Linked DNA regions of Stegostoma tigrinum. Each later gene encodes a partner of the first gene's protein in a complex. Links are inferred from orthologs where the notes say so. Each region holds a gene or a part of one and is shown on either strand. Other genes may lie near its edges.

Region 1 (13,501 bases):
CTTTTTAGCTACTGGGGGGAGATGGTTGAAGAGGATTCTCATAATAACCATTCCAGTGGTGGACAGTAGGAAATTCCTCTGTAATTTCCAGAGTCAGACTGCTCTCTTTTCTTTACGATGGTCACGACTATGACAGCTGAGATCTCCCACTATGCTCTCTTTCTTCCAGTTAAGTTTGATGAAGTCATGAATTTGTGTCAAGAGTGACTCTCCAACATATTTTAGCACTTCAGCAGGGATTCTATCATCATATTGAATGGTGAAGCAGGGTCAAGGGGACAAATAGCCTACTCCTGATCCTAATCCTATTTTCTATGCTTCAATCATTTCCAAGTAACACACTGCTTTGACTGAGCAATGCATCACCATTACTTAATAATAGCACCAAAACCATGCAACTCTTCACCCAATGCATTGTGAAAGCTTAATTACTACAAAGATTATAGCAGTTCAAAGATCCATCATCTTCTTAGGGAAATGATGAATGTCTTGAATGATATAACTCCTGCATCACACTAATTCTAAAACAAATAAAAATAACCTGACAGTCTTAGTTGTTCCAGAAATCCTGGCTTTTGACTTGACATTTCTCTTCAGAGTATAGCTCAGTTGGCTAAAATTGCTACAGTCTTAGCATATGCCTTGTTCATAACTTTGCAGGAGGCTTAACATGACAAAATGCATTTCATAGACCCTGATAGTATCTGGTTGATAATGTGCTTAAGTTAATGTGAATAAAAACTAGAGCATTAGTTTCAAAAGTTTTATTCAGCTAGATTTATTGACTTTTTTTGAAAAGGCATGAACTTACATACGTAAGAGTAAATGGAGTATTTAAAAAAATTGAACAGAACAAGTACTCAAAAGACAAACTGTACTCATTATACCATTGCGGCAGCTTTCTGTTCAAATTTATTAAAAATCTGTTGCTTTTTTTCTCTTCTACTTGGAGTCATAAGCTGTGGATATGAGAGGTAGTCATTGCCTTCCACCATGCACACAGCACAGATTCCAATTAAAGATTACATCATTTGTTCTTTTGGGATCTACAGATAATGCAGGCAAAAGACTATTGTGTTACAAAATCGATGGACAATGCTCCCTGGATAATAAACAATCCATTAAATTACACAAAATTAGAAACTGTCTGCACTTTTATGGGGTGATAACCTTTGTGGTAATGGACACATTCAACATATAGCCTCATTGCCACCTGGGCTAGAGATAGTAAAGTTCCTGGGGTGCCTGGCTCGTGGAAAAGGGTCTGCATCCTCATCTGATGGTGTCTTCCTTACAACAGGGAATCAGTCAAGTTTCTTTTCTCCCCTCCAACACACACACACACACACACACACACAATTAGTCATATGCTTTTAAGCAATATGACTTAGCTGGTAGTTCTCCTATGGGGTAGCCTGAAAGGATTCCATTGCATAGATACGCAATGGCATTGTATCCTTTACATAAATAGGAAGGTCCTGAAAGTCAAACGAGAACAAATAGTACAAACTTTAGTACTCCCTAAAAATAGGTCTGCTCAGACATACTGTTGTGATCTGAACTGATGGCAATAATTAAAAAAAACTAAGAGTAGGAGAAGGCAATTCAGCCCCTTGATGCTGCTCCCTCATTCAATATGATCATATCAGCCTTAATTTTAACTTTCCTGCCGGCTCTTCATTACCCTTTAGCCCATTACTAACTAAAAAGCTGTCTATTTCCTCCTTAAATATATTCAGTCTCCTAGCACCAACTGCACTCTGGGCTAGTGACCCTTTAAGAGAAGTAATTTTACCTCATCAGTGTTAAATCTGCTATCCCTTAGCAGAAAACTATGACCTCTTATCCTAGATTGCCCAATGCAGGGAAACATCTGCTGTGTATCTATTTTGTCAATCCCCTTTAGCATCTTATTTACTTCAATTAGATCTCCCCTCATTCTTTCAAATTGCTTAATCACTATTCATAAGACATCTTTCATCACTGTAATTAATCTAGTGACCCTCCTCTGAACAGACTCAAGTGGAATTACATCCTTCAAGTAGGAGGACCAAAGCTATACACATTACTTGAGATGCAAGGCATTGGTGAGGCTGCATAATTGCAACATTTTCCTGCTTTTACACTCCATTCCTTTAACAAGAAAATTCAATTCCCACTCCACCCCACCCCCCTGCCTTATTACCTGTTGTACTTACATACTGGTTTTCTGAGATTCCTACATGAGATTCCTCTGCAACAAAGCACTCTCAAGTTTCTCTCCATTTAGATAATAAATTGCCTTTCTATTGTTCTGACCAAAATGGATAGCCTTACAGTTATCCAATTTAAACTTCATCTGCCAAATTTTAGCCCATTCACCTCAACCTATCCGTATTAATTTGAAAATCTTATTTATTTATGGCAATTCACTTTCCCAACTATTTTAGTGTCACCTGTAAATTTGGCTACAGTACATTCTATCTTGTATCCCGGTCACTAATATAGATTGTAAATAGATTGGGTCTCAAGGACTGAATCCTGTGGCGCTCCACTAGTTACAGCTTGCCAACCAGGAAAAGATCCATTTATCCTGATTCTCTGCTTTCTATTGGTAATCCAGTTCTCTATACAAGGTAATCCTGTGTGATCTTACCCAGCATATAAACCTTATCAAATGCCTTCTGCAGGATCCTGAATATCCACTTTGCTTGTTACATCTTTGACTAATTTGCTCAAATTCTTCAAACTCTACAAGCCGAGCTCAATAACATACAAGTCAAATCCCAGAGTGAAACCAAGCTTCATAGATCAAAATTTTCATATTTACAGTTTGGTTATTGTGGTGGTTAATTACTGAACATATTCACACAAAGCTGTCAATATTCTTTTAACAAAACAACACCAGTTTATTGCACAAAGGAAAAAAACACAAGCTGTACATGGAAAATTTAGAAAGTTATAAAGTCCAAGGATCATGTATTTAAAGTGACAGGGAGAAAATTCAAAGGAAATGTGGGGACAAGACATTTCTCCCCACAGTGTGGAACACGCTACCAGAGGTGGTGGTGGAGGCAAACAGAATAGGGGTTTCAAGAGATTTTAATAAGCACATGAATATGCAAGGAAATGGGGGGATATGAACCAAGGGCAGGCAGAAGGGATTAGTTTAATTTGGCATCACGTCCAGCACAACATCACAGGCTGAAGAGCCCCTTCCTGTGCTATACTGCTCACGTTCTATAAAGTCATAGAATTAGATCAAGGAAATAGACCTTCAACCCAACTTGTCAGCACTGATCAGACATCCCAATCTGGCCTAGTCCCATTTGCCAGCATTTGGCCCATATCCCTTTAAACCCATGCTCTTCAATATACCCATCCATATGCCTTTTAAATGTTGTAATCGTACCAGCTTCCACTACTTCCTCTGGCAGCTTGTTCCATACACGCATTTCCCAAGTGAAAAAGTTACCCCTCAGGTCTGTTTGAAATCATTCCTCTCTCACCTTAAATCTATGTCTTCCACCTGAGGAAGATGACCTCGGCATCTGCTCATGCCCCTCATGATTTTATAAACCTCTGTAACGTCACCCCTTAACAGCAAAAACAATTATTTTTCCCATTAATATCCTTTAGTCTTTCTCAATCCCAGTGAAATCTTATTCCTGTATTAACTGTTGAAATTTCTTACTCAAACAACTCTTCCCATTTCTTCTTCCTGGACTGTTGAAGCAAGTCAAGACTATTTCCTCCAGCTCTGAAAGTTGGAAGATTTCTATAAACTAAACTCTCACTGTCTGGAGATTTCTACAATCTGCATTTTTGCTGATGATTTACTGTTTTTCTGAACTGTGATGCTGGACTCTGACCCAAAGAGCTTTCTGTCTTAAAACTCTTCTTTGTAAATATTCGGCAATTAACTTCCAAAGCATCTGATCTAAGCATTTAACTAAAATCACACAATTTCTTGAAAATCATGGGCAGAATCTTGTAGGAGTCCAAGTGACAATGGGCTATGATGAGATTTGTGGTAGAATAAGACAAGTCATCTGACAAGGTTTATCTCAATATTGGGGGCATCTCACTCCAGCTTGAGTACTATTGATAAGTGAGTTTCGCACTCAGGAGCATGGAGTTGCTTTTAAGGGGGATTATTGCTTGTCAAATACCCTTAATGGCCAAACTCACCGCATTAACATTCAGCTTCCTATGCTTCTAAATGTGCCAAACAAGCTAGGCACTGAGAAAACTAGTCATGAAAATCACAGTGCGTACCTGGTGACTTCAGCTCCTTGCTTGGTCCAAAAGGACTTCTGTGTTGTTTATGTCCAAACAGCATCCCCAGACATGATCCATGCACACCAATGGTATGCACTGTTCACCCACAGATACTGCCATTTGCTAATTCCTTATGCCCATCATGGCAATCTGATACACCTGCACAGCACTCTGGAAGCACAGACTTACACTGACAACTAGTACTTAAAGATTGCAGCAGCAGCACACTACATGCAGGAACAGTCACCTAATTGACAGATTCGATCAGCTTGCGTCACAGGTCTGCTCATTTGATCTCTTAGTATCTACCGGCATGCTCATACTATTTATGCCTTTCTTGGCTGTGCCAATTAGCACAGTGACATAAAACCAGGTAGTGTGCATGGGTCAGCAGTCCTCATTCACAGGCATGTATACCTGCTATATGGCAGTTGTGCTGCCAGTCTCACACTTGCTCCATGTGCCAGCTGTTTGTGCAGCAAACCGCACATGCAACAAGCAAGCAGCCTTGTCTCAAACTGTATGACAACACCTGGCATAGTCATCTTATTGCCAGTGTTTCGGGGAGATAAGTGGGCAGGTGCAGACTCATGAAGATGGGTTGGATGGGGACCTGGGGAAATATGAAATCTATGGGAAGGGCTACCAGGAAGGGGATTTGGATGTTTGGGAGCTCTCCCAAACAGAGAAGAGGCTGAAACTGCTGGCAAATGAGAGCTCACTATCACTTTCCATTATGATAGAAATCAAAAGTGTGCAATGGGGAGGAAAACAGTTGCGACCACACTCGACGTGGGTGGAGTAAATGACTCGACATGGGAGGGGAGGGACTCCAAGATGAACCAATGTGAGGCCCTTTACATGCAAACTACATTACACACTGACCCATGCATTGTGTAGTACACAGGTCTGTGGGGTCCTTCATCCCTGGCTATTATAATACATTGGCCCCATGCTTGTTGTGCACCTCCCTGTTCTAGATATCACTGATCAACTCATTCTAGTCAATACTTTGGGAGCAGAGCCCAGGGAAAGAATAGAGATGTTGTGCAACGAGGGGCTATTAGATGAGCAGGACTCATCACCCTGTAAGTGCCTTATTCCTCCTACTTCCACATGCAGCAGCAGGGTCTGAACATAGACATTGATAGTAATACATCGTATGAGGCCACGAAGTTATGCTTCATGCTGCAACAATTACATTCAAGGCTACACAGAGAGACAAACAACCAATGCAAGGTCAAAGCAGTGCCATTTGTAGAAAGGTGTCAAATTATGTACATAGCATTATCACCTGTGCCACCAAAGTGCTGCAATTTCTGGGCAATGAGGGTCACTGCACCCCACTGCTCCTGCTCCTCCCTGTGGATATAGACAAAGTCCCTGACTGCTGACAGTCAAGTCCTCTCCTGCCTAGGGTTGGACAGGTGCCTGAATACTGGCAGTCCTCCGAATACCAGTGGCCTGGGATAATTTTTCCTTGGTCAGCTGTGAAGCTGTCACTGTGAGGTGCTCACCACATTATAGCTCCACACCAAAGCGCACACACAGGAGACACCCATACCGATGCCCCCTATGAGACTCCGTACTCTCATACTCAAGAGGTCAAGACAATTGTTTCTGGGGGAGTTGGGTATTTTGTGACAGAGATGGAGGAGATGCTGGTAGTAACTGCAAGTATAAAGGGAGAGAAGGCCAATGGTTAGAAATGGTGTGCAATGAATGAATGATTGCTTGAGATAGATGGAGGAGTTAATATGAGAATTACTATGGAATGAAGAAAGGTACTTACTCGGCGACCCCGCAGGAGTGATTCCAGTCTTTTCCAGCGAGGGCCAAGATTCTTTCCTCATAGCGGGTAAGAAGCCTAACATCTGGTACCCCTCCACCTGCACTGGAGGCTTTTTGCTCTGTTTTTTCTTGTAATAAGAGAAGAGACAAATTGAGTGAGATAGCAGTGGGTGGAATGGCTGTTAGTGCTGGTACAAGTGGGTGAAAGCTGGTGTGGTGTCCTAAGGTGATAAGGAGGTAGTGTAGCGGCCTTGAATGGCGTGCAAAATTCGACAGAGGTGGGTAGGTTGGGGGGATGCAAGCAGGTGAATGAGGGAAGATGTTGCAGGCAATAATAGTGAGAGTGACAGGGCCTGAGCACGAGGTGGGTGCAAGCAGAGAGAGGAGTGTGGATCCTGACTATTTGCCATTGACCTTCTTACAACACCACTGGCCATGCTTAGGCATCATTGAGACTGTACCGATCCAAGTTGTGGCCTTATACCAGTATCTGGTAATGTGGTCTCCTCTGCTGGTTCTACAAGAAGGAGACCCGTCTCCTTTGCACCACCCTCCAGGTTCCTGTCAGGGAATTGCAATGCCATCATTTCCTTCTCCAACAAAATATCCTTGAATTAGCAAGGCAGCTTTGGAATTCCAATGCTCATACAGATGCACAAAAGGAACAAGGACTGCTGGTCTGTCAGTTGATATCTGTTCAGTGACGAGTTATTCTGAAAAAGGCGCATGGTGAAAGGAGGGTAGAATCGGCGTGATGGACATCATAGAAGTGAGTGAAGTGGTTAATGAAAGGTGTTCAATAGGATCATAGAATCCCTAGGGTGTGGAAATAGGCCATTTGGCCCAACAAATCCATGCTGCCCCTCTGAAGATCAACCCACCTGGACACATTCCCCTATCCCTGCATTTCTCATCTGATTCCAGCCTTGGGCAACTGTCTGTGCGGAGTTTGCACGTTCTCCACATGTCTGCGTGGGTTTCCTCCCTGTACTCCGGTTTCCTCCCACAGTCCAAAGATGTGCAGGCTAGGTGGATCGGCCATGCCAAATTGCCCGTAATGGCCTGTTTCCACACTGAAGGGAATCTAATCTAACCTGAAAAAAAACCCCACCTAACCCAAACATCCTTGAGCACTATGGGCAATTTAGCATGGCCAACACCTATCCTGCACATTTTTGGACTGTGGGAAGAAACCCACATGCAGACATGAGAAGAATGTGCAAACTCTACACAGACAGTCCACCAAGGCTGGAATCGAACCCGGGTTCCTGGCGCTTTGAGGCAGCAGTGCTGACCACTGAGCCACTGTGCTAGAAGAACCTTTCCCAAAACGAACTCAATTTATTGAATGGTAATCATTACTAGCTTTCAATACCAGAATTTATTCATTGAACTCAAAATCTACCAGATGTTGTAGAAGTGGGGTTCGAACACATGCCCTGGGAGCATTAGCCGGGGCCTCTAGGTTACCAGCCCAATAATATTACCACTGTGCCACCACCTCACACTATATGCCAAGATATGGTGAGAAATCTCACTTGGTGTCACAGTAGGACACCCTCCAAAAAATTCAGTACAACTTGCACTTAGCCTAAAAAACGTAAAATGCAGGCCTGTGTCTTTAGTTCATCACTCCAAATGGCTTTGACCTGAAACACAAGTCAGTCACTCACAGACCTGAAACCAAAATCTACTTTACCTCTACTTTTAAAAAACAAATTCCAAAATGGTAACATATTGTAAACCTTAACCACAATACAATTACACACTGAAGATATCACTATGGGTACAAAAACTAACAGGGAAAGATACACTAGATGTTTAAAACAGAGATGGTTTAGTACTTATTGCCAAAACCTAACCTGCCCCCTTGGCCTGTCTGTCCTCTCCAGACTGACCTATCCCCTCCCTATCTCCCCATCTATACTCACCTCTACAGGCTCCATCCCCACCCCTTTAACTTGTCTGACTCCTCTCCACCTATCTTCTCCTCTATCCACCTTTGATCCGCCTCCCCCGACTCTCTATTTATTTCAGAACCCTCTCCCCATCCCCCTTTTCTGATGAAGGGTCTAGGCCTGAAATGTCAGCTTTTGTGCTCCTAAAATGCTGCTTGGCCTGCTGTGTTCGTGTAGCTCCACACTTTGTTATGTCGGATTCTCCAGCATCTGCAGTTCCCATTATCTCTCAGATCTACGATTTATTTGGTAACTGAAACAACCTAATGTTGAGAGTTAGTTCAAAGTGCAACATATTTGCATGAAGTTTAAAAATTGTCAAAACTTTGTTTTCTAGATCATGATCAAAACAAAGTTTCATTATTTATCAAAATTAAACTTCAGTAATTACCCAAAAGAAGCAAAATTGCCGTTATTAATTCATATGCAAGTCATAAATAACTATATCCTCAAAAAGGAGTAATCAAGGGCAGGTCATGTCTCACAAACCTCATTGACTTTTTTGAGAAGATGACCAAACACGTGGATGAGGGTAGGGCAGTTGACGTGGTGTACGTGGACTTCAATAAAGCCTTTGATAAGGTTCAACATGGTAGGCTATCGGAGAAAATACGGAGGCATAGGATTGAGGGAGATTTAGCAGTTTGGATTAGAAACTGGTTTTCTGTAAGAAGGCAACGAGTGGTGGTTGACGGAAAATATTCAGCCTGGAGTCCGGTTACTAGTGGTGTGCCTCAAAGATCTGTGTTGGAACCACTAACATTTTTATAAATGACTTGGATGCAGGCATAGGTGGATGTGTTAGTAAGTTTGCAGGTGACACTAAAGTCAATGGAGTGGTGGACAGTGTGGAAGAATGTTGCAGGTTGCAGGGAGACTTGGATAAACTGCAGAATTGGGCTGAAAGGTGGCAAATGGAGTTCAATGTGGATAAATGTGAGGTGATTCATTTTGGGAAGAATAATAGAAAGGCAGAATACCGGGTCAATGGAAAGATTCTTGGTGTCCATGTACATAGATCCCTGAAAGTTGCCACCCAAGTTGATAGTGCTGTTAAGAAGGCATAAGGTGCGTTAGGTTTTACTGGTAGAGGGATTGAGTTCCAGAGCTGTGACGTCATGCTGCAACTGTACAAAATGCTAGTGCGGCCTCATTTGTAATACTGCGTGCATTTCTGGTCGCACCATTACAGGAAGTATGTGGAAACATTGGAAAAGGTGCAGAGGAGATTTACCAGGATGTTGCCTGGCTTGGAGCAAAGGCCTAATGAAGAAAGGCTGAGGGACTTGGGTCTGTTCTCATTGGAGAGAAGAAGGCTGAGGGGATTTTACAGAGACATACAAGATGATCAGAGGATTAGATAGGGTGGACAGTGAGAGTCTTTTTCCGAGTATGATGACGTCAGCTTGTATGAGGGGGCATAGCTACAAATTGAGGGGTGATAGATTTAAGACAGATGTCAGAGGCAGGTTCTTTACTCAGACAGCGGTAAGGGCGTGGAACAACCTGCCTGCCAATGTGGTTAACTCAGCCACATTAGGGGCATTTAAACAGTCCTTGGATAAGCATATGGACGATGATGGGATAGTGTTGGGGCTTAGATTAGGTCACAGGTCGGCGCAAAAGAGGGTCAAAGGGCCTGTTCTGCACTATATTGTTCGATGTTCTATGTTCTAAAATATACCACTCATGGTGTTTCATTAATGAACAAAGTAGCTTTCGATGCATCAGATCTACTTTGATACATAATTGCTTTATTCCGAAGGCATTTTGTCAGCTTTTCACCGATGATATTAGAGTAAACTCAGATTGTCATTATCAGTATTAAGTGTTCTCTGAGATGTCTGAGCTGTCATGCAACCCCTACCCTGCTTTTTCCACACAATTAATTATAGGTTTGATTAAGTTCTTGCCAAATTACTGCAGCAATTTAAAATTCCAGTGATTTGGTGTTTCATATCCAGCACGTGACCTGATTTTGCAAACTTTGCGCTTTAAACTAACTCCATAGAATATGAGGTCCTGGATCTTATATTCCCAAAATATTATCCTTCAGTTAACGGTGGTGCCAAGGCTAAGACCTGGAAGTTAATGCACACAGTGGACTCAAAATCAGATGCAAGCCAAGCAAATTTCCAGATGTCTGCACTAACACCCTTTGATGGCTGTAACACTTTTATTTTGAAATCATGTGCAACTCTAAGCAATCACTGCCATGCAGGTTCAAAATAGCATGGCCCAGAGCAAATGTTACTTTGGGCAAAGCCTATCGCTAGAATCCTGCAGGTGTACACTAGACCAGTTGAGGCAGCTAATTCATATTGTCAGAAACGTGAGCCAGCTGGGGGTAACAAGCCACAGTAATCAGGTCACAGTTGGACAGGAAGTGGGGAGGGAGAGAAGAGGGTGTCAGGATAGAGCAAGAATTGGATGATTTGCCCTGTTTGGAGGAGAAAAACAATGCCATCACAACTGTGATGGTCAGGAGAGTGGGGACATAGTTATTTGAACCATGAAAAATAACTGAAAGCACACAATGAACAACTTCAGTGGGCATGTTGGAAACTGTATTAGACAAGTGCATACTTTAGCTCTACTTATTTATATATACACACTACAATAATAATAGATGTGAGGAAGTAAAGACTTCCCATATTTTTGCATAGCATTTATAGTATACATTAAGTAAAATTAACTTGGAGACTAAATAGGATTTTCTACCTTTGAATGAATGCGTTTTTCATAGAGTGGCAGGAGCACAGAAGTTGAATAAAGACACGTTTTGTCACAGCTTTTCATCATCAGGACAATTCCCAAGAAATACCAGCTGGAAAAAGAGGGCAACATTTATGCTGCCTGAGACAAGATTGCTGATTGGTCAGCAAGATAGTATGTAAATATCAAGTTTCCTCCTTTAAATTGGAAGTCTTGCACAGCGTTCTGATAAGAACATGATGAAAAGCTCGAATTAAACATGTCTTTTCTTCAGCACATAAAATCATGAAAGGCACAGAGAAGCCGACAGCTTTTCCCCATGGTAGGGGAATCTGAAACTAAAGGGCGTAGGTTTAAGGTGAGATGGGAGAGATGCTCAAGGGTCCAGAGAGGTAGTTTTTTCATACAGAGGGAGGTGTGGAACGGGTTGCCAGAAGTTGTGGTGGAAACGAGTACAATTTCATCATTTAAGACAGGGACATGATGGGATGGGTGTGGAGGGATATGGGCCAAACACAGGCAATTGGGACTAGTCTAAATTATGAAAACTGGGCAGCATGGGCAAGTTGGACCAAAGGACCTGTTTCTGTGTTGTAGATCTTTTTGACTTTGACTCGACAACAGGGAATATTACAAAGGACAAGTAATTTTCAGAAACAGTGCTGTGACATTGAGATCCTGTGTCCTGTCCTGAATTCACTATGTGGAATGGCAGGAGGGACTACCAAACTCCCAATGCAAGAGAAAGGATGTGAAACTTGAAGGTAACAAAGTGTAGAGCTGGATGAACACAGCAGGCCAAGCAGCATCTCAGGAGCACAAAAGCTGACGTTTTGGGGCTAGACCCTTCATCAGAGAGCTCTCTGATGAAGGGCCTAGGCCTGAAACGTCAGCTTTTGTGCTCCTGAGATGCTGCTTGGCCTGCTGTGTTCATCCAGCTCTACACTTTGTTATCTTGGATTCTCCAGCATCTGCAGTTCCCATTATCACTGAAACTTGAAGATAATTGTTTTCTGCCTTTCAGGACTGAACGAAACCTGACAACCAAATGGAACATCAAAACTCCCTGACGACTGGATATCAAATATCGACAACACATCAAATAACCATTAGCTGTTGTAAAGAATTGAGACTATTTATTGGCATGCTTAAAATCTGGACATTTGTGTTCAGTCACATATCAAATAATAAGCTGAAAAATGACAAAGCGCAAAGCTCAATGAAATGTCAGTGGATTTCACGATATGGAAATTTAAACAGCTGAGTTTCTAACCACTGAGGGACAGAAATGTCGATGTCAGCAACAGTCTCCTTATATGGCATGGCACATTGAGAAAATGCAAAGAATCTTCATCTACAGTTTAATCAGATTATGCGATTCATAATTTTGCCCACTTTGAGTAAACACTTTATTTTCTTTAGGGAAAAGCCAAGAACACTGAAATGAAAAAAAATAAACAAATGTTGCCTGTACAGTTTGTTTTGTGAGAACTCTCATGTCTATCTCACATGAAAACGAAAATCTACCTTTTATTATTGTAATATACAAACTATGTCTGAAATTACTAGCTTATAGTTTCATTTGAAAGAATAGATTAGTCACAAAATGGACAAACGGTTGCACAATACAATGTGGAACAGAATACTAGAATAAAATTAACAACTTAATTAAAAAATCCTTCTGAAAGGACTAACCATAACTGTTGCTCAATTGTAACAATATTTAGAGCTATCTATAACAAAACAAAGAACTGCGGATGCTGGTGAGCTGAAGTAAAAATCAGAAATTGCTGGCACAACTCAGCAGGTCTGACAGCATCGACAGACAGAAAGCAGAATTAACATTTCAAGTCTGGTGACTCTTCATCAGAACAGCTCTCTTTCCAACACCACTTGCACCCTCATAAAAGTAGTTTGTATCAGATGCCACAAAACAAGCTGCTGGCAGAATTCAATGACAAATGCTACAGATAGAATAATATAGATCAGCATTTTATTTTTCATTAATAAAAGTAACTTCCCATTAATCAGTTAAATCCTTACAGAGGAATCTCATTTCTGGAAGAGAAAATGATTATTACAACACTACTCTATTAATTGCATGGAATGATCCATTTGTAATCTTTGTTGTTTGCATACATCATGCAGTTTCACAGCATTTAGCATGCAACAGATGAACCAGTTCATTACAATAAAGTCTCAACACCTATACTTCAGGTACTTGACTAGCTATAGTCATGATAGGCACTATATAAATGCAATTCTATCTTTCATTAGGGATTTATCCATTTTCCATGAAGCCCTGTAATGATTGCATCAATAGAAGAGATTTAAGAAACCTTAGCACAGTTGCTACAAACCATCACCGTAGATTGTAACTTCTTTTATGTTACTCATTTTAAAATCCTATTTTTGTAGCACCTCATGGAGAGGGCAAGTGAGCAAGCAGGACCTGGACAACAGACAGGAACAATTATGATCAAGATGATCCAGTGTCTGATTTCCTCTGCCAAATTCTTCTTTTCCTTATCTCTGTCTAGCACTGCATCAGCCAGCCTGGCTGCGATAGAGAAGTAATATATGGGAAATTGCAGGAGCAGGGTCATGCCCAATATTCTATGTCACAGCACTCCAGTACACCAACATAGTGAACCATTTGTATGACTATTTCTCACGAGCACACTGCTGATTCAAAAAACTTTGTCAAGGGAATACTGAGGGCTTCATTTGGACACAATTTTTACCAAATTGCAATTTCCATGACCTGTCTAGCAGAC
Region 2 (12,392 bases), on another chromosome or scaffold:
TGGGTTCAATTCCACCCTCGGGCTACTGTCCATAAGGAGTTTGCACATTTTCTCCACGTCTGCATGGTTTTATCTGGTTGCTCTAGTTTCCTCGCACAGTCCAAAGATGGGTGAGTTGGTGGATTGGCCAACAGTAATGTGTGGAATTAGGGGAATAGGGTGTGGTGGTGGGGCTGGGCAGGATACCCTTCAGAGGATTGGTATGGATTTGCTGGGTCGAATGACCTCTTTCCACACTGTAGGGATTCTATGACGCTATGATAATTCCCTCCTGTAACAGAGCTGTGGGTGTCCTGACATTGTACAAACTGCAACAGTTCAAGAAGGCAGCTCACCATGACCTTATCAGGGGCATTTTACATAGGCAATAAATGCTGGTCCAGCCAGCAAGGCCCACATCTGTTGAATTAATTTTTAAAAATGAAAGCTCTGTTAAATGCAAATTGCTGTTACTGTTATTAGAAATTGGGATTATTTTGGGCACTACTTGATCATATCTGGGAAGTGAGAAAACCTGCAACAGCTGATGGTTAACTTAGACTGCAAGTTTTTTCAATGATGTACAAAAAAGGTGGACAGGAAAATTTGGTAGTTGGACTGGAGGCACCATATCTCTTTAACAGATGGGTTAGACTTTTTAAAATGAGGTCCTGCAGCAGTAAACATTTCCTTTTCTAAACTAGAAAACAAAGACTGCAGATGCTAGAAAACAGAAAAAACATCAGAAATTGTAAAAATCCAGCAGATCTGGCAGCAGTGGCGGAGAGAAAACAGAGTTAACGTTTCAGGTCTGGTGACGTATTTCAGAATCTTTTCTTCAGAAAAGGAATCCTTTTCCTTACTCCCTTCAAAAAGGCCCAGGTAACACAAACAGGAAAAAATCCAGAAAAATGTTTTTTAGAATGTAATTAGAACCACAGGATGTTTATAGCACATAGTAAGGCCATTCATCCCATTACATGTGTGCCAGCTCTCTGCTAGAGCAACTTACCCAGCCCCACTCACCCAACAATTTTCATGTCATCCAGCAAATTTTCACCATCTGACAAATGCCCAATTCTCTTTTGAAAGCCATGATTGCATCTGCTTCCATCACATTCCAGATCTTAATCACTTGCTACATTTTTTCCTCATGTCACAATGTTTTTTTCAGGATTCACCTTAAATCTAACTCCTTGTGTTCTTGGCCCTTCTGCCAATGGGAATGGTCTCTCCCCATCCAGAACCCTGATGATTGTGAAAACCTCCAACACAGCTGCTCTCAAATTCTCTTGTCCTGTTATTCCTGGACACGGAGCAGCTCCTTTCCCATTAAGAAAAGTTTATGAAGACAATTTGTGTGGGTCTCACGGTACTGTGGCTGTGTCCCTACCTCTAGGCCAGAGATCAGGTTTCAAGTCCCACTTGCTCAGGAGGTGTATTGTAACATGTTTGAACAGATCAGTGAATACAACTATAAGGAAATTGGTCATCAACTTTTGTTTTAAATTAATTTTAAATATGATCTTGCAGTGCATTTGTGTCTCACACAGAACAAAACCCGGAATGGATCCCTGGACCTTTGTTCTACCTTACCTGTCGTGGAAAACTCTCCAACAGACCCTGGTGTTGTCAGTACAGGTGCTGGTTAGAAAAATATCCTGGTTACTCCCAAACATGTGCACTCCATTCAAAGAGCCAATAACCGAGAACGGAAGCTGCAAAACAAAAGGGACTGACTGAAATACAGAAACTCCATTCAGGCCATTAAAACTTTTCCAGCCAACTTGATCCCAGTGTTTAAAATAACTGAAAGATCCGATGGGATTCATAAGTCTACATGATCTCAGAGTAGAAGTAGGTCATTTAGCCTGTTCTCTACCATTCAATAAGATCATGGTCGATGTGGTGATGCTGAACTCCACTTTCTGCTCCTCCCCCCAACCATATCCTTGATTTTCATAATGAATAGAAATCTGTCCATCTCAGCCTTGAACATATTTAATGACCCAGCCTCGACAGCCCTCTGTGGTAAAGAATTCCAGATTCACTATCCCCTGACAGAAGAAATTTCTCCTTATTGATCTTAAACAGGTAACCCCTTAAACTGAGATTATGTTTTCTGGTTCTCGACTCTCCCTCAATGGGAAAGAACGTTTCCAGAGAGACAAATGATGTTCTATGATGGGACAGTTTGGAAGGTACACCGGCAAAACTAGAGCTCAGCCTGTTAGGGGTAACATCAGCAAGCACTTCTTCACACAAGAACATGCTAATAGTGCAGGTCTGAGGCTAGAAAAAAAAGTCAAAAGGCAGTGGAAGCTGGGTCTTTGAGTATTCTTAAGACCAAGGTAAGATGAAGATTCTTGGTAAGCAAGGGGGATGATAAAAGGTCATCAGGTGTACAGATGGGATTGAGGAGTATTCGAGTCAGCCATGATTTGAGTGAATGGTGAGGCAGGTTTGAGGAACTTGCTCTTGCTGTATCCACCTTCTATCCGACTCCCCCTCTCTCCCTATTTATTTCAGAATGCCCTTCCCCTCCCCCATTTCTGAAGAAGGGTCTAGGCCCGAAACATCAGCCTTCATGCTCTTCTGATGCTGCTTGGCCTGCTGTGTTCATCCAGCTCTACACCTTGTTATCTCTTGCTCTTGTATGTTTATATGCAAATTCTGCAGCAAGGATCTCACTGCATAAGGCTCCCACCCCCACTCCTTCACTGCCCAGCCATCATCTACACGGAGCAAGTCAGGAATGTGATGGAATACTTTCCACTTATCTGCATTAGTTCAGGTCTATTAACACTCAAGAAACTCAACACTATCTGGGACAAAGTATGCTGTTTGACTGGTATCCCATCTACCACATTCAACATTCACTTCCTCACCACAGTTGGACAATAGTAACAGTGCATGCCATCTGCAAGATGCACTTACAAGTAAACAAGGCTCCACTGACAGCATCTTCCAAACCTGCAAGCTCTACCACTTTGAAGGACAAGACGGCAGATACATGGGAACATCATCATCTGCATGCTCCCTTTCAAGCCATAAACTACATTGATTTGGAATGGTTATCACTTGTCCTTCATTGTCGGTCGAACCAAAATATCAGAACTCCCGTCTTAACAGCACTGTGGGCGTCTCTATATCTCGTGCACTACAGTGATTAATGAAGGCAGCTCACTACCATGTTCTCCAGAGCAATTAGGATTGGTTGAACAAAGCAAGCCTAGTCAGTGTTATCCACGTCCAGGAGGAGAATACATTTTTAAGAGTAAATAAAGGGATAGTAGAATTCTGAAACTCTCTCACCAAAACGAAAAAGCTTTTTGGGGTTCAATTAAAAATGTCAGAAACTAAGGTTGTTCAATTTTTGTTAGGCAAAGATATTAAGCAATAGGGGTTTGTAGGTGGATTTAAGGTGCAGATCAGCTGTGATTAATTTCAATAGCCATCTCCTATACTTATATTGCCAACTACGGAGCAGCACTGGGCAGTCATAGAGTTATAGAGCACAGAATCAGACTCTTTGGTCCAACTCATCCATGCTAACCAGGTATCCTAAATTAATCTAGTCCCATTTGCCAGTATTTGGCCCACATCCTTCTACACACTTCCTATTCATGTATCCATCCAGGTGCCTTCCAGAGTCATAGAGTTGACCCCTTCATCAGTTCAGTTTATTAGCAACCAAATCACTTAAGTATTCACTCTCACTAGTGTACCATGGTGAGAGTGTACTACCTACAAGATGCACTGCAGAAATTCATCAGGGCTTCTTAGATAGTACCTTCCAAACCCATGATCACTGTCATCAAGTAGGACAAGGGCAGTGGAGGCACGGGAACATCACCACCTGCAAGTCCACCACCCCCCCACCCCCAAGCCAATTGTAATCTTGACTTGGAAATTTATCCCTGATCCTTTACTGGTGCTGGGTCAAAATACTGGAATTGCCTCCCGAACAGCACTATGTGTGCGGTTCAACCCAAACAGATGGCAACAGTTCAAGAAACCAGCTAAGCAGCTGACTACCATCTTCTCAAGGGCAACTAGGGTAGGCAATAAAGGCTGCCCAGCCAGTGACACCACATCCCATGACCAACTAAAATAAATACCTCCACTACCGAGGACAAGGGCAGAAAATGCAAATGGAAACACCGGCTCTTGCAAGTTCCTTGCCATCACGGCTAGAAGATACAATTGGTTAATCTTGCATCACAACTTTGAGGACTGCCTCGAAAACAGTAACTTGCCCTGCATGGACATGTCTCACCACCACCTTCTTCAGAGAAATGAGGGATAAATACTGGTTTTGTCAGCATGATGTCCAAAACATTTGTTGTGGCATTTAATTCTTGCCCCCATTTTCATTCAATAAAATGGCCAGCCAGTTACCATTTATACTAAATGGATGGTCAGGCTTGGCATATGCAGCAGCACAGTGGGCACACCACTAACAAAACCATATTACCAAATCAGTATTCCCTTTGTACCCTAGAGACGGTAAGAACTACAGATGTCAGAAGCTAGAGTCAATAAATGTGGAGCTAGAAAAACACAGCAGATTAGACCACATCCGAGGAGTAGGAAAGTCAACATTTCGGGCCGTCCTAATTAAGGGCTTCAGACTTTCCTTCTCTTTGTACCCTCTCTCTCACTGAATTTCACAGAGTCCCTACAGTGTGGAACAGGCCCTTCAGCCCACATGTCCACACTGACCCTCAGAGCATCCCACCCAGACCCAGACCCAACCCTCATAACCCACCTAACCTAAACATCTCTGAACACTGCAGACAATTTAGCATAGCCAATCCACCCAACCTGCACATCTTTGGACTGTGGGAGGAAATCAGACCACCTAGAGCAAACCCACACAGATACAGGGAGAACATGCAAACTCCAAACAGACAGTCACCCAAGGGTAGAATTGAACCCAGGTCCCTGGCACTGTGAGGCAGCAGTGCTAACCACTGAGTCACCATGCCACTCAAAAAATTATTCCCCATGTCTCCGCCCTTCTTCAGGACAGTAGCATCTTCAAAATTGTTTGAAATTGCATTGAGTAATTCCTGAGTGCAAGCCCCCAATGTTTCTTGCTTTTATTTTCTCCTCTGAGGTTTGAGTGTCTTTGGCGCTCCTCACCACAGAAAGCTGTGCATAAAGCTGCCACCGTCTTATCAGACTATGGGGCTGTTCTCTCATTGCAGAAAAGCGACTGGTGGGGGTTTAACCTGAGGGTCACCACTAGCTCAGGTCAGGGTAAAAGTTGAGAAGGAGAATCTATCATGGTAATATCACTTGGTGTGGAAATTGAATCTGTGCTACAAAACAGTCATCCAGCCATAAGAGATAATAGGAACTGCAGATGCTGGAGAATCTGAGATAACAAGGTGTAGAACTGGATGAACACAGCAGGCCAAGCAGCATCAGAGGAGCAGGAAGACTGACGTTTCGGGCCTAGACCCTTAAGATGCTGCTTGGCCTGCCGTGTTCATCCAGCCAACTGGGCTAACTAATTCCCAAAGCCAAAGTTGCCATAGTCCAACCAGATGAGATGGATACTGTCCCATTAGAGAGAGAGAGCTGAATGGCAGTGGTTTAACTGGAGAGGATAGACAGTCAGTCAGGGATTCAAGGACTATGGGGAAAAATGGGCGTGAGGAATCAACCATGAACCTTTAGAATGGTGAAGCATGCTAGAAGGGCCCAACGGCCTACTCCTGTGGTTATTCCATATGGCTTTATGGTCTTTATTTAAATAGCAAACAAAAAAAAGTTTTTTTTTGTTGTAGAAAACGAAGAGAAGACAATGCACTGCAAAGAATGTAACATGAGTGAGGTTACCTGCCTACTCTCCCCCTTACTTCTGCAATACAGAGGCACGCCACTGCTAGTTGCCAGGCACAGGAGCTGTACAGTAGCCGCCATCTTGAGAAACCGGACCCCCCCCCCCTGGCTACAGGCCTTCACTTTCCCGAGGTACGCCGGGATACCTTCGCGTCCCCTAGCAACCGCCGCCGCTCCCTAACAACCGCCCGCGCACGCGCAGCTCTGTAAACTTTTTTGCTACAGTTCCCTCCCCCGCATTCAATGCAGTTTCAAGTGATGCAGTCCCTTCCATCAACAACAGATTCTTAAAAATTAGATAAATTTAGATTTTAAAAATCTATTGAAGGCCTACAATGGGAAAGGGCACCAGTATAGAGTCACAGAGATAATGGGAACTGCAGATGCTGGAGAATCCAAGATAATAAAGTGTGAAGCTGGATGAACACAGCAGGCCAAACAGCTTTTGTGCTCCTGAGATGCTGCTTGGCCTGCTGTGTTCATCCAGCTTCACACTTCATTACAGAGGTCTCAGGTTGGATAAGAACCCTTCGCTACATTGAGTCAAAAACAACAACTTAATTATTCTAATCCTATAAATCAGCACTTAGCTCATAGCCTTGTATGCCCTGACATCGCCAAGTGCACATCTAAATAAAAGTATTTGCATTATCTGTAAGAGATGACGGGTAGTGGTTTAACCTCAGGGTCACCATGCCTTAAGCGAGGGGAGAAGTAGAGGAGGAGAGTCCTGCATGTAATCTCGGCAGGTGCAGGAAGTGATTCACACTGTTGGCATCATTGTGCAACCCTCAGTTAGCTGGACATCTAAATAGTTTTTAAGTGTTATGAGAGTTTCTACCTCTACCACTCTTAGAAACAGTGAGTTCCAGATTCCTACCACCATCTCGAGTGAATCTTTTTCCTCACATCCCCTCTAAACCTACTGCCCCTTACTTTAAATTCATGCCCCCTGGTTATTGTCCCTTCCACAAGTGCCTTCCTATCCAAAACTCATCCGGTCTGGCAGCATCTATAGAGAGAAAGCAGTGTTAATGTTTCGAGTACAATGACCCTTGTTCAGAGGAAGGGTCTATTCTGAGGAAGGGTCTCTGAACTCTACTTTCTCTCCACAGATGCTGTCAGACCTGCTGAGTTTCTTCAAAAATTTATGACTTTTTTTCCAGATCTTCAGCATCCACAGTTCTTTGTTTTATTTATTCCTTCCTGTCTATGCTGCTTATAATTTTATATATCTCAGTCATGCCCCCACCGAGGTCTCTACTGTTCCAAGGAAAATAATCCCTGTATATCCAATCTCTTTTCATGCTTGAAGGAAATATTAAGGCATTAAATAAATATTCTCTGTGGAGCCAAATGTTTTCCTGAATCTATATTCTTAGAAAATTCATATGAATTTTGAAAGTTACCAAAACTTCTGCAATATAGAAACAAGAACAACCTATTTTTAAATACTTTTATTTTTTAAAAAAACAATTAAACAGTGTCACGGGAGCATTATAAAAGGAAGTATGATGCCGAGCCTCAGAAGGAGATATTAGGTCAAGTGACTAAAGGCTAAGGAGATGGGATCAGAGGGGTGTCTTAAAGGAGGATAGTGAGTTAGAGAGGCGGAGAGGTTTAAGAAGTGTATCAAAGGTTTGAGGGTCCAGGAAACTGAAAGTCCAACCACCAATGCAATTAAAGTTCAGGATTCACACGGGACTAGAATTTAAGGAAGATAAATCTCTTAGACAGTTGTGGAGCTGGGGAGGATTAGAAAGACAGTGAGGTAGATAGCATTTGAGGGATTTGGAAATAAGAAGGAGAATCCATTTTAAAATTAAAATGTTGCTTGACTGGGAGTCAACAGACATTGCTGTGAGTTAAAACATAACAGCAGAATTTTTGATGAGCTTAAGATTACAAAATGTAAAATATAGGAGATCAGCCAGAGGTATGTTGGAATAAGGAAGACCAGAGTGAGTGAGAGAACGTGAATGAGGATTGCAACAGCAGATGGTTTCTGCAAACTTTTGCATGTCCTACTGTTTCCTAATGTCATCGCTGAAAAATCTGGCTCCAGTTTTAAACTAAGCCCCAGTGACTGAAAATAGATTCCCCTACATACCCAGGAGGCTTTCCTACTATGACCACATTTGGATGCTTGAAAATTGTCTTCACCCTGCGATGAGAGCTGGCCAGGAGAGTGGAGGATATGACCTACTGTTCTACAAGAAGCGCAGAAGGAGAGTGGTTGGGGAGGTGGGTTTATCCTCTGCTGCCTTAGAATTTGTAAAATTTCAGCTCATGTCTGTACTTGGGTTGCCCTAACATGCCCAGTCGGTTTCCTGCATACTCAAAAACAGGATGGTTTGGCTCAATGTTTTACAATTGATGAAAATCACCTCTTGATTTTTAAATGAATAAAGTCACTTGATCTAATTGATCTGTAATAACATATTAACTATTACCTCTGCATGGAATTCCTGTTAATTTTTCTCAAAAGCGTTATGAATATCAGACTCTGTATCTCTAATAGTCCTCACCTCTGTAAACATGTCACCCTGTAGCTACATATTTCCACCAAGTGGAGGCACTACACTTCCACATGAACAGACCAGAGCAACTACCACACGGAATATTTCAAGAGGGAGTTTGTTTGAACTGTGGTAGCAGAAGGGCTAATAGAAGTTGAAAGATGAGGTCAGAGTATAAAGCTTAAAATAGATGCTGAATTACTTCTGAATACTGAGTTCAATTATCCCACATCTCCCATTATTGCTTTAACTGAAAACTCCATTTGTCCAAAATCACTGGAGATTACTGAATAATTAGAAGCACGTTAACATGATTTTCATCTGACCGAAAATTCTGATTTATTCAGTCATTGCAACAGCCATTCATCATTTAGCAAGAACCCATAGCTTGCAACCAGATAAATAATCAGTTTGAAGAGCTGGGGTGGAATGATGGTGGCGATACAGTTAAAGTTCCCTACTGGCGGCCAGACATCATTTAACCTAGATGAATTACTCATGACCTAATTTGTATCAAGTCCCACACACCCTTCACCCCTGTGCTCACATGACCTACACTGGCACCTGGATAAGTAATGTCTCAGTTTAACGATTGATCCTTATATTCCAATCCATTCATGGTCTCACTCCATCCAATCTCTGTAACCTGCTACAACCCTCCAAGATCCTCAATTCTAGACTCTTATGCTTCCTTACTTTCAACAGCCCATTGGCAGTCACATCATCAGTTCTGTATATCATCTGTTAAGGTACTCCTTAAAGACACCAGCAGTAGAGGGAGCTTCCACAGTGGCTTCAGCTCTGGTGGCCTGTGGGCAGGGCCAATGCTGTGCTAGGGGATGTGGCACTCGCAGTGGAAAGGCTGAAGATATTTGTAAAGTCCCTGCAGTATGGAAGCAAGCTATTCAGCTCATCTAGTCCACACTGACTCTCCAAAGAGCATCCCACCCATACTTTGTAAACCTGCATTTCCCATGGCTAATTGACTTAGTCTACACACCTTTGGATTGTGGGAGGAAACCAGGACACCCAGAGGAAACCCATGCAGACACAGGGAGAATGTGCAAGCTCCACACAGACAGTTGCTTGAGGGTGAAGTCACACCTGGGTCCCTGGTGCTGTGAGGCAGCAGTGTTACCCACTGAGCCTTCATGCCATCAAGGAGTGGATTTGAGTAACTAAGCTTGGTAAAGACATGAAAATCAAGACTCTGGATGGAATTTATCTCTTCTCCAACCCTATCAATGGGTCTTCTTTCTGGATCACTCTTGAAGAACGAGATCATGCCCATACAGAAGCAAATGTGTGCAGGAAATCCAATGGATTTACAGATGTTGGATGAACACAGCAGGCCAAGCAGCATCTCAGGAGCACAAAAGCTGACGTTTCAGGCCTAGGCCCGAAACGTCAGCTTTTGTGCTCCTGAGATGCTGCTTGGCCTGCTGTGTTCATCCAGCCTCACATTTTATTATCTTGGAATTCTCCAGCATCTGCAGTTCCCATTATCTCTGATTTACAGATGTTGTTGCAATTGGTGACTATAACAGATGTGTTGGTTTGGGTTTCAATGCTGCAAAGAAGTGGTCATTGCAGTTTGTGGACCTATCAGTCTGGCAAAGTTGTTAATCATTTCTGTAAGAAGGGGTGACTGGGATAACCAAATTGGAAGATCCCACACTCTACCATGCAAGGTTACTGGGCATCGCGACTTAGGCTTTGGGCGTCTGATTCCCGTTCCTCAACGTACCGGGTTGTCTCAGCTCCAGTCCCCTAGAAACTACTTCAGTAGGCCAGTGCTGATGATTACCATCCCTTTGCCGGAGGCTGAACAGTCAGACTGGGAGCTTCGCTAAAACTCTGTTCTGAGGAAGGGTCACAGGATGCAAAACGTTAACCCAGATATTTTTTTTCTTCACAGATGCTGCCAGACCTGCTGAACTTCCCCAGCAACTTCTGTTTTTAACCCTGGTTGCAAGATCTGCAGTTCTTTTGTTTTTTTATTTGCTAAAGCTACATTTGATGCCATCTCTAAGATCCTACAGCTACCTGGCTCCAAATCTCGAGCTGGAGATTGTGCTTACCGAAGCCCCATACCAGGAACAAAAACAGAGGTTGCTGGGAAAGCTCAGCAGGTCTGGTAGCATCTGTGAAGAAAAATGTCAAAGTTAATGTTTCTGGTCCGGTGACCTTTCCTCAGAACTGCTGGTAACTGGGAAAACGTCAGCTTATATGCAGAAAGTAGGGAGGGAGCTGGGGTAGGGAGTAAACAATAGGATAGAGCCTGAAGAGAGAGAAGAGCAATTAGATAGACAGAGGAGTTGATAACAATCTGACTAGGAGGGTGAATAGTTGTTAATGGGGACTGTTGGTGACAAATTATAGGTAAAAACCAAAAGAACTGCGGATGCTGCAAATCAGGAACAAAAACAAAGTTGCTGGAAAAGCTCAGCAGATCTGGCTGCATCTGTAGAGGAGAAAGCAGAGTCAACGTTTCGGATCTGATGACCCTTCCTCAGAACTGGTTATAGGTACTGTGTAATGGCAGGCAATGCGATAACAAGGCCTGGTGTGAGGAGTAGGAGGCTAGGACATGGGCTACCATGAATTCACTTATCATCGGGTCAAGAACCACACCCATATATCTGTTCAAACATTCCAATCAGCTGTCGCTCCACCAACATTAAGCATTCATGCAGAGAATGAAATAAAAATCTATTGCATATTTTAAAAAACACTTAAAACCTAAATCTTTGATTTGCCTTTTGATCATTTGCTCAAATTTCTCCATATGTGTAATGCTGTCAAATTTTCTTTGATAATCCTCTTCCAAAGGACCCTGGGGAAGTTTTACAACATTAACCGTGCTATTTCCATACCAAATCTTAACCTGGCACGGGTCTTGAATATACAACTTCCAAATTGAAACATGGGAGTTGCAGAAGTTGAACCAAGCTATTACAGAAGGGACAGACAAACAAGATACATAAAGATTGGCCACCTGTAGAAGGTGCTGCAGGGGATCAATAACATTGGTACCCAGTCTTAAGAAAAGATATAATCCAGATTGATTTGTACTGAATTTCCCATTTAACAGTTAGGATCTTTGGGGAATTGCATAAAAATAAGAGCATTGAAAACAATAGAAAATGAAACTTTTTCAAAACTGTATTTTAATTAGGATTGCAGATTTTTAAAAGTCAAAGCACAAACCCACCTAATATTGAGTTTCATATTAAGGAGACATAACATAAGAACAAGAGCAGGCCATTCAGCTCATTGAGCCTGTTCTGCCATTCACTTGGATTATGGCTGATCATCTAGCTCAATGCTACTTTCAGGTACTGTCTCCACATACCTCGATTTCTTTAGTCTCCTGAAATCCATCATTTTCTGCCTTGCACCTGCTCAATGATTGCATCTCCTTAGCCCTCGGGGCTGGAGACTTCCAAGCATTCACTCCCTTCTAAGCGACGAAATTCCTCCTTCTCTCAGTCCTAAATAGTTCACTCCTTATCTGAGACTGGGTACCCTGGATCAGCCAAAAGCGACATCTTATCTATGTCCATCTCCTCAAGTCCTGCAAGAATTTTGTGAGTGACAAAGCAGTCATAAAGTCATGCAGCATGGAAACAGACCCTTCGATCTGACCAGTCCATGCTGACCATAATCCCAAACTAAACTAGTCCCACCTGCCTGCGCTTGGTCCGTGCCCCTCCAAACTTTTCCTATTCATGTACTTATCCAAAAGTCTTTTAAACATTGTAACTGTACCTGCATACACGACTTAGGTCACTCCTCATTCTTCAAAACTCTAAGGAATACAGACCCGATCTCCTCAATCTCTCTTCAGAAGACAATTTCACCATCCCAAGGACTAATGTGGTGAACCTTTATTTACTCCCACTATGGTAAGTAAATCCTTCCTCAGTTAAGACAGTGCTGTTTCTCCTCAGCATCTTTGACCTGAAGTTGCACCCACTTTCAGTACATCATTTGGTTTCAGTGAGCTGATGGTTGCTGAACAATACTGCCGAGAAATGG

What was found.
Region 2: the proteins of wdpcp (region 1) and fuz are in contact, whole or in part, in a cryo-EM structure (PDB 7Q3D), measured with the Homo sapiens proteins. The link is inferred for Stegostoma tigrinum from reciprocal best matches to the Homo sapiens genes WDPCP and FUZ. Residues at the interface, in NP_056994.3 of Homo sapiens: Arg55, Ile57, Asn75, Lys78, Leu82, Glu418, Asp419, Arg420, Leu421; in NP_079405.2 of Homo sapiens: His293, Glu372, Glu373, Pro374, Arg379, Gln397, Pro399, Thr400, His401, Gly402, Ser405, Leu406.

Annotation. Positions count from the first base shown.
Region 1 is NC_081362.1:1,603,459-1,616,959, forward strand, and holds the start of wdpcp (WD repeat-containing and planar cell polarity effector protein fritz homolog), read right to left. Parts: upstream 6,138-13,501; 5' UTR 6,135-6,137; coding exon 6,053-6,134; intron 1-6,052. UniProt on the Homo sapiens protein: Probable effector of the planar cell polarity signaling pathway which regulates the septin cytoskeleton in both ciliogenesis and collective cell movements.
Region 2 is NC_081391.1:22,112,323-22,124,714, reverse strand, and holds the start of fuz (protein fuzzy homolog), read right to left. Parts: upstream 5,938-12,392; 5' UTR 5,914-5,937; coding exon 5,830-5,913; intron 1,698-5,829; coding exon 1,576-1,697; intron 1-1,575. UniProt on the Homo sapiens protein: Probable planar cell polarity effector involved in cilium biogenesis. May regulate protein and membrane transport to the cilium.